Linked DNA regions of Sus scrofa. The protein of the gene in region 2 interacts with the protein of the main gene of each other region in a pairwise test. Links are inferred from orthologs where the notes say so. Each region holds a gene or a part of one and is shown on either strand. Other genes may lie near its edges.

Region 1 (4,361 bases), on a different chromosome or scaffold from region 2:
AAGTATATAAAGTTTAGGCTTGTCTTTTTTGTTTGTTTGTTTGTTTGTTTTCTCTTTCTGCTATTTCTTTGGGCCGCTCCCGCGGCATATGGAGGTTCCCAGGCTAGGGGTTGAATCGGAGCTGTAGCCACCGGCCTACGCCAGAGCCACAGCAACGCGAGATCCAAGCCGCATCTGCAACCTATACCACAGCTCACGGCAACGCCGATCCTTAACCCACTGAGCAAAGGCAGGGACCGAACCCGCAACCTCATGGTTCCTAGTCGGATTCGTTAACCACTGCGCCACGACGGGAACTCCTAGGCTTGTTTTTTAGGAATTTTACGGCTAAAAATAAATTTTAGAAACAAATCTGAGTCCTGGAATTATGTATTGCCATAGCTATGTGGATATTAACATATTCTGAAGTAGTGGCTATATGGTACCTTCAATAAGACATTCATTAAAACATAACAATGGATAGTAATAGATATACATCTATAGAGGGAAGAGGGAGGGAAGAAAAAACAGACTTGTTTCAAGCCTCAAGTAATATAAATCACTTTGATTAGATCCGGATTTTTTTTCTTTGCTTTCAAGTATCCAGGGTTCGAGAGTTAACAAAAGTTTCCAAAAATGTCTCTTCGTGTGATCAGTATTGTGCCAGGCAATCCAGCAGAACGAGAAAGTACAAGGGGTTATTTCTGCAAGCAAAACCCCTAGCAGCGATAGGACATCTCATGTAGCTGAGTCCCATCAAAGGTGGTGCATCCCAGGCAAACGCCATTACAAGCAACACAGGTGTGCAGAAGCAGCAGTTAATTGGAATTGGGTTCAAAGAAAAGCCTTCGTTTACACCTAAGGTGTCTTGCTGGGACCCGCTATCCTAGCACTCAGCAGTCGACGAAGACAATGAAGCCCACCCCGGGTGAAAAAAGTGGGTCTCCCTACGTCTCCACGATCACCTAATGGCAGGCTTCAGCGACAGGACGAGCCCACCCGCAGCCTTCAGGAGCCGATATACTGCAAGTCTCACGTTTCGGGCCCAGACCGGGGCAGGCTCTCTGGCAATTTTGCATTTGAAATTTTGAAATCATTTTCTTAAAGTGACGCAATCGTCCTCTTCCCCCCCTCCCACCCACCCCTTCAAAAAAAAGGCTGAGCTGCAGGCCTCACAGACTGAAGCTTGCAAGCCCGCGGACTAGCCTCTCTAGGCAGGAAACAGCCTCCTTTTAAGGACACAGAACTGCGGTCTCCTCAAGCCGCTGGGCAGAAGGCGGGGCACCGTCTGCAGCTGAGGACTGCTGGGGCTGCGGGGAGGGCGGGGAGGGCACTAGAGAGCCTGGAGAGCAGGTGGGCGGGGCTGGCGAGGAGCTCCGCCAGAGCTGGGGCAGCAGGGGGCGTGGCCGGGAACGGAGAACGGGGAACCGTGCTCTTGCACGGAGGCTCCACCCCCGCCCGTCCCCCGGAGGGACGCAAGAGGGGAGGAGAAGGGGTGTCGGAGGAGGGGAGGAGGTGGCGGCGTCGGCGCCGGATCGCTTCTCTCGGGGACCGGCCGACCCGTGAGCGAGAACGTAGCTCCGCACTGCTCTTCCTCCCGCTGGAAAACCGTCCCTTCTCACCATGTCTCAAAGCAGGCATCGCGCTGCGGCTCCGCCGCTGGAGCGCGAGGACAGCGGGACCTTCAGGTCAGTGCCCTGGCGGTCGGGACCGAGCCGGGAAAGGCCAGGAGTGGTGGGCAGGAGAGGAGGGGGCGGGGGAGCCGGCTATCCAGCGGCATTCTGGGTAAAGCCCCTTCCTGGCGCTCGCGTCCGGGCTGCTGCTGCTGGAGCGGAGGCTAGCTCTCGGCCCCGCCCTCTTGGCGCGCTGGCCGGGGTCTCCAGCAGGGCCCAGCCCCGCCCCTCCTGTGACCTCGGGCTGCGCGGGGTGGGCGGAGGTAGCACGCGGCAACCCCGGTGGGTTTTGTCGGCTTGGTACTGGAGATTGCAACTCCCGTGCGTGCCTCCCGATTTCCTTGCTACTCCCTTCTACCCGCATTCAAGTTATCTCCCTAAAGACCTCCGTCCCCCTGCCCTCTGCCCGCCGCGGCGGGGTCCGGAGGCTTGGTAAGCCTCTCCAGTCTGGCCCTGGCCGACGGGCAGCTTCGGTGCCTTCGGCGTCACCATTAGGGGCTGTTAAAACTAGTCTCAATGCTTCTATTTCCCTCCCCGTTTTGACGTGCAAAGCACAGCTTTTTCTGGTTTTTGCAGTTTGGGGAAGATGATTACAGCTAAGCCGGGGAAAACACCAATTCAGGTATTACATGAATACGGCATGAAGACCAAGAACATCCCGGTTTATGAATGTGAAAGATCCGATGTGCAAATACACGTGCCCACTTTCACCTTCAGAGTAACCGTTGGTGACATAACCTGCACAGGTCTGTATGCACAGTTAACCCTGATGACCCTGTAGGTTGGCTGTCAAGAGCTGGTATTGCTTCTCTGTTCCCGAAAAGTGTCCTAGAGACATCATTGAGGAGCAGGCTCTTGAAACTGGGACCTTTCCCGGATCATTGGGACGTTTCAACTTCTCTGATTCCCTAATTTTCTCTTCCCTAGATACTAAGAGAAGCTCAGAAACATACCCTGGAACCCTCCTAGGGTTCTTCCAAGAATTAGGTAGAAGCGGGAAAGATTCTTGGAGCAGGCATAGCTGAATTAGTAGATAGTGTCAAGTTTCTTAGGTTATAGCAGATGGCAGAGGGCATGACCTCAGAATTTTCTGAGCTGCTCCCCTCTGTTTGGACTCATTTGGCACTTTGGACCCATTGTACCATGCTGGACTCTATCTAAGCAAGCAACAAGCAACTACAATGTTGTGTGGCAGTTTCTAGTTCTTGACACTGTACAAGTTTTTTAAATAAGATGTTATCTCCCTTTTTTTTTTTTACAGTTGAGGAAATCTGTTCAGAGAGATTATAAGAAACATGCCCAAGGTCACATAGTAGTGAAGTTTCAAGATTCAGATTCACCTATGGTCATTGAGCTAGAGCAAATAATAACTGAAGTAGCCCATTTGCACCTGTAGACATTTTATTTCTTATGTATTTAATTGCAAACACAAAAAATATTGATTACTAAATTTAATTTGGAAGAATGCCAAGGAAAATATTCAACAGGAAGGCTGAAGTTCCACCATCTGGTAATCTGAAGGCATCATTTGTTTGTGTCCCCGTTATTTTCAATTGAAGCCACGTTAAAAAAAAAAATTCAGGATCTTTTTTGTCTGTGTGGGGCAGGTGGATTGTAGCTAGATTTTAGCTAGAAGATTCCTCACAGGAATCATAGAATAAGCATTGCATTACTGCTTTAGCTGGTCTATTTGTAAATGTTGGATGAAAATTCAAGAAAAAGTAGCTCTCCCCCTCCCCCCCCCCCCCCCCCGAGGTTAACAACCTATGGCAACTGCTCAGCCCTCCTACTCTTCTCACACTGCCCTGTCTTCCTGTGTAAGCTTATCTGTCTATGGCTTCAAATACTACCTAAAGGCTGATAATTCTGAAATCTGTCTTCAGCTCAGGCCCAGGTACAGAACAGTGTAGCAGCCTGTGCTTGCTAGACATTTTCACTTGGATGACCCAAAGACACCTCAGTCTCTCACTGACTCAAAATGAATCCATCTTCTCTTTCAAACCCATTTCCCCTGCACTCCCCAGCACAATAGAAGCACCTTTCATCACCCATTTGCTCGAAGTAGAAATTTGAGTTTCATCTTCTTGATCCTTTCCCTTCCCTCCTCTTGTTTCCCAGTCTGCCACCAAACCCTACTTCCTAAATATCTCTCTTTTTTTTTTTTTTTGGCTTTTTAGGGCCATGCCCATGGCATATGCAGGTTCCCAGGATAGGGGTTGAATCAGATCTGTAGTTGCCAGCCTACACCAGAGTCACAGCAACGCCAGATCTGTGCTGCATCTGCAGCCTACACCACAGCTCACGGCAACGCCAGATCCTTAACCCACTGAACAAGGACAGGGATCAAACCCGCAACCTCATGGATTCATTAACCACTGAGCCACAACGGGAACACCCCCTAAATATATCTTGAATCTGCCTGCTTCTCTCATCTTCACATTGCTACTGTCCAAGCCACTTGGATTATAGTTACAGTCTCAAAGCTGCTCGTTTAGCTTCTAGTCTTGTGTCCATTTTCCACATAAAAACCATAGTGTTCTTTCTGGCATTCATATCTTTTCATATACTTCCTCTTCTTAAAATCCATTCTGTTTTTCACATCACCCTCTGGATGATTACAGATTTCTTAATGTGACTGACAATCTTACTTCTCAAAGTGTGAATAACAACAGCAGCATTGATTTCATCTGAGTATTTGAAGGGAGTGCA
Region 2 (4,393 bases):
GCCTTCCTCTGGATTCTCGGAGCCAGGGCTGCGTTTTTATACTTGATCTCGAAGAGGGGCAGGGTGGCCTCCCGCCCGCCCGCTAAGAAGATCAGGTCTGTCAGGAGCTTATCCAGCCCAGGGGGGGAAATACTTGAGTCTGTGGTGGGAGGGAGGGGCTATAAACTAGAGCCAGCTCAAACCCACCCTAAGGGCACAGTAGACAGGGTGTGGCAAGTCTTGGGGCAGGCTTAACGATTTCAGAAGTGGAAAGGCTACACAATTACAAAGCAATCCCTCCAATTGAAGACTGCTGGCATTGCCTAAAACCAAAGACTCAACTCATTCAAAGGACTAAATAAATGTGGGATGAATTTAATCAAACGTTCAATGATGATGTTTCTTGATAAATGCGTATTTGTTAGAAAAGCTGGAAAGATGCGGCATTAAGACGTTTGAGAACCCTGTCTCCTGGGCTCGGGTGTCTTATATGTCTTGACCTTTCATTTAAAAACACTAGCACCCTAAGTCTTTATCCTAGGGCCAGGCCACCCTGGGCAAGGAGACCACACGTGTTACAGCAAAGGATGGCAGCTACTGGACAGCAGTACTGAGCTGACGGGCAGCAGACAGCATCAGTGTGCGGCTGGGAGCTTGCAAAGCAATCCGGGCCCCTCAATCTCCTCTCATCGAGATGGTGGCCACATTCTGCTGACCTGGGCCTGGGCCAGAGGACCTGAGCTGAAGCCCACATCTGCCCATTAAAAATGAAACGACTTCAAGCTACCCAGACTTTGCAGAATCTGTTTATCTGAAAATGGGTCTCATGTCTATCTTAAGAGCCTGGTGTGGAAAAGTTAAATATCAGATGCGAAGGATTCCTCCTTACCCAGTGGTAGAATTTCTTGTGATCTATTAATGTGCCCATCACTGACATTGCTCCCAGTCCCCTCCAAACTCATGCTTCTTTAAATATGACCCTCAACCCACCCATTTATCTTCATAAACTCACTCCAGTCTCCTCTGGCTCCCCACCCCATGGAGGCCTCACTAGGACTCTGTTCCCTAATCACAGGAGCTCAAGTTTGGTTCTGGGATTGGATTCGGAATGGTTTTTTAAAACTTCCTCCCTACATATTTTTTTAGCAAGTTAAAAAAAAAAAAAAAAAGGAGTTCCCGTCGTGGCACAGTGGTTAACGAATCCGACTAGGAATCATGAGGTTGCGGGTTCGGTCCCTGCCCCTGCTCAGTGGGTTAACCATCCGGCGTTGCCGTGAGCTGTGGTGTAGGTTGCAGACGTGGCTCGGATCCCGCGTTGCTGTGGCTCTGGTGTAGGCCGGTGGCTACAGCTCCGATTCAACCCCTAGCCTGGGAACCTCCATATGCCGCGGGAGCGGCCCAAGAAATAGCAACAACAACAACAACAAAAAAGACAAAAAGACAAAAAAAAAAAAAAAAAAAAAGGAACTATTCTTAAAACCTTCTTTCATATGCAGACCCAAGCCCCATGGCTACCATCACCACCAAAACAGCCCACCTAAGGGGCTAAGCTGTCAAGAGCCCCCAGTGAGCACCCTGACCTTGAGCTAGTCACTGTCCCCGCTGAACTTCAGTTCTCTCATCCCCCATCTGGTATTCCATTCTTGGAACAGCAAGGATGTGTTGGAAGGAAAGAAGAGACAAGTACAAAACATCCATCTTCACGCCTAAATCCCAGAACGAACGTGGGGTAACGAGGGTCTGGACTGCACTTAACACTCCCTTGCTCTTTGCAAAAACTCACGCATCTCCACTTCGCAGATGACCTAAATGAGGCTGTAAGAAATCAAGCCCTGTCTCTCTACCTACAAGTTCCAATCTCATACCCTCCCACACACTACATCACCAGCACTGATTTAAAGAGCCTTCCTTCACTGGGGTATAGTAACTCTGTGGAACCCTACCCGTTTCAAGCCCTAAGCTAGGCACTGGGGGACTGGAGACGATGGGCCAGGAAGTCCCTGGTGGGCCCTCTGTAAGAAAAGCAGCCTGGCAAATACCCACACCCCACCTCATTCCCCTAAGGTGTCCTCAGAGGCAGGCGCTGCAGAAAATCCTGGCATTTATTGGGCATCTACTATGTTCCAACCCCTGCTGTTTGTGCTCATGTAATCCTCACAAGTCCTGAGTTAGGTCTATACTACTTCCTTCCGACAGACCAGGTTCACTAACTTGCAGATGGTCACGCATCCAGTTAGTGGCAAATCTGGATTCCCATGCAGCGAACGGGCCCTAAGTCCGTGCCCTCAACCACTATGCCCTAAGGCCTCCTCCTCGGGGACTGGGCTCCCCAAGACTAAAAGAAGAAAAGCGCCTTCTCTCCAACAGGTGGCAAGCCTGCAGCCCAGTTCGGTGGGGATCAACCATCCTGGTTGGAACCCCCTCTGTGGATTCGCAGCATGAGAACCTTTCCATTTTAAAACCCAGAGGAACTGGCCATTCTAAGTCCAGGGCTCCTTTCATTTTCCCAGAATAAGAGAAAGATCTGAACGCATTTCCTCCTTCCATGCGTGCAAGCCAAGAGGGGCTCTTAACCGTGGAGACGCAGGCATCGGCCGCGGCTCACCCCCTGCCCCAACCTCTGAGCCCCAGCCTCCTAGGTCGGACTCTGGGACACCGCCCCTTACCTCTCAGCCAGCGCCCGCCAACGGTTTCAACCGGCCGCGGGGAGCACGTGGAATCGCCGCCGCCGCCCGCCCAGCAGAGCTGCCACCTCCCGCTCGAGCTTCCCCGCGCAGAATTCGCTTCTGAAACCTCCCGCGCTTGCGCGCCGCGGCCACACCCCCTTAGCGGAAGTGACGCCACCGGAAGCCGGAGGGCGGGGCCGGCGGCGGAGGGGGCGTTGTCGGGATGGTTCCGCTGCCGGCGTTGCCCCGCGAGCTGCGCTGAGGGCGGCGGCCGCAGGTGAAGAGGAGGCGGCGGGGCGGGCAGCGGCCTCCGAGGGTAAGGTGGGCGCCGGGTCGGGAGGCCGGCCTCGCGAGGGCTTGCAGGGCCGGCGCTGTGGGAGCGTTTCGGAGTCCGGCTGGGCGCCTCAGGGCCGGGCAGGGCAGGGACCCGCCGCCCCTCGCGCATCCTGGGGCAGCGCGAGAGTCAGTGCAGCTGCCGGGTCGCGCGGGAATTAGCCTGCGGCCGCGCCGTGCTCTAACTCAGAAACGCCAAGGCCGAGTCAGGGTCCTGGAGCGGGGCCCTACCCCCCTTGCAGCTCCCTCGGCCTGGAAGCCCCACCCGCGTTCCCACCCGGCCTCCTCCCGCTCGTTGCTCCCGGCCGCCGGGGCTGCGCCCGCGGGAAGCTGCGGGTCCCTTCCCGACCGACTCCCGGCTCCTTCCATCGCAGTGCACTTGAGAGTAGTGCTGAGACTACGGAGCGCCCGGCCGGGTCTCACTGCCATGCGACTTCTCTGTGCCGCGGTCCCGCGTCTCTAAAACAGGTGTAGTAAGAGTACCTCCTTCGTGCGGTTCTTGTAGGATTTCATGAGTTGGTGAACCTAAAGCACTCAGTAGAGCGCCTGCCGCTTCATCGCTTGGCTGCTCTTCTTAGCCCTGGAGACAGGCCCGGCGCACAGCAGTGGTTGCCCAAGTTGTGAGCTGCTTAAATGATGAATGAAAGTTGAACGGGGTGTAAACAGGGAATCGTGAGAAGCATTAGCCCTAAGGAGGGTGTCGCTCTGGAGGTGCGCAGTGTTGGGCCTGGAACGGAGGGTGTAAGAATGTATGCGAGGGCCACCATCACAAAATACCATAGCCTGGCCGGAGGGTGGGGTGGGCGGGGGCGGGGGGAGCTTGAACAAAATGCATTTATTTTCGCACACTGTGGGAACTAGAAGTCCAAGAGCAAGGTGTCAGCAGGTTTGGTTCCTTCTGAGGGTGCCTCTTGTTGGCCCCTGGATGCCCGCTTTCTGGCTGCATTCTTACGTGGTCCCTTCTACCTATATGCCCATCCTTGGTTTCTTGGTGGCTGCGTCCAGATTTCTTCTTCTTTTTTTTTTTTTTTGTCTTTTTGCCATTTCTTGGGCCGCTCCCGCGGCATATGGAGGTTCCCAGGCTAGGGGTCCAATTAGAGTGTAGCCGCCAGCCTATGCCAGAGCCACAGCAAGGCCACCCGGAGTGACTGACTGACTGGTTGGGGAGCTGCCCTGCAACCTACACCACAGCTCATGGCAACGCCAGATCCTTAACCTCATTGAGCAAGGCCAGGGATCAAACCCACAACCTCATGGTTCCTAGTCGGATTCGTTAACCACTGAGCCACGACGGGAACTCCCTGGATTTCTTCTTATGAGAATATCAGTCAGATTGGCTAAGGGTCCACCCCCAACTCCCATTTTAACTTAATCTCCTCCTTAAAGCCGCATCTCCAAACGCAGTCACGCTGAGG

Evidence for each region.
Region 1: the proteins of LYAR (region 2) and PRKRA interact in binary tests that used the Homo sapiens proteins (3 or more experiments, as listed by UniProt). The two-hybrid records come from large-scale screens. The link is inferred for Sus scrofa from reciprocal best matches to the Homo sapiens genes LYAR and PRKRA.

The regions. Positions count from the first base shown.
Region 1 is NC_010457.5:84,153,624-84,157,984, reverse strand, and holds the start of PRKRA (interferon-inducible double-stranded RNA-dependent protein kinase activator A), read left to right. Parts: upstream 1-1,388; 5' UTR 1,389-1,602; coding exon 1,603-1,667; intron 1,668-2,228; coding exon 2,229-2,398; intron 2,399-4,361. UniProt on the Homo sapiens protein: Activates EIF2AK2/PKR in the absence of double-stranded RNA (dsRNA), leading to phosphorylation of EIF2S1/EFI2-alpha and inhibition of translation and induction of apoptosis.
Region 2 is NC_010450.4:6,079,749-6,084,141, reverse strand, and holds the start of LYAR (cell growth-regulating nucleolar protein), read right to left. Parts: upstream 2,811-4,393; 5' UTR 2,646-2,810; intron 1-2,645. UniProt on the Homo sapiens protein: Plays a role in the maintenance of the appropriate processing of 47S/45S pre-rRNA to 32S/30S pre-rRNAs and their subsequent processing to produce 18S and 28S rRNAs. Also acts at the level of transcription regulation.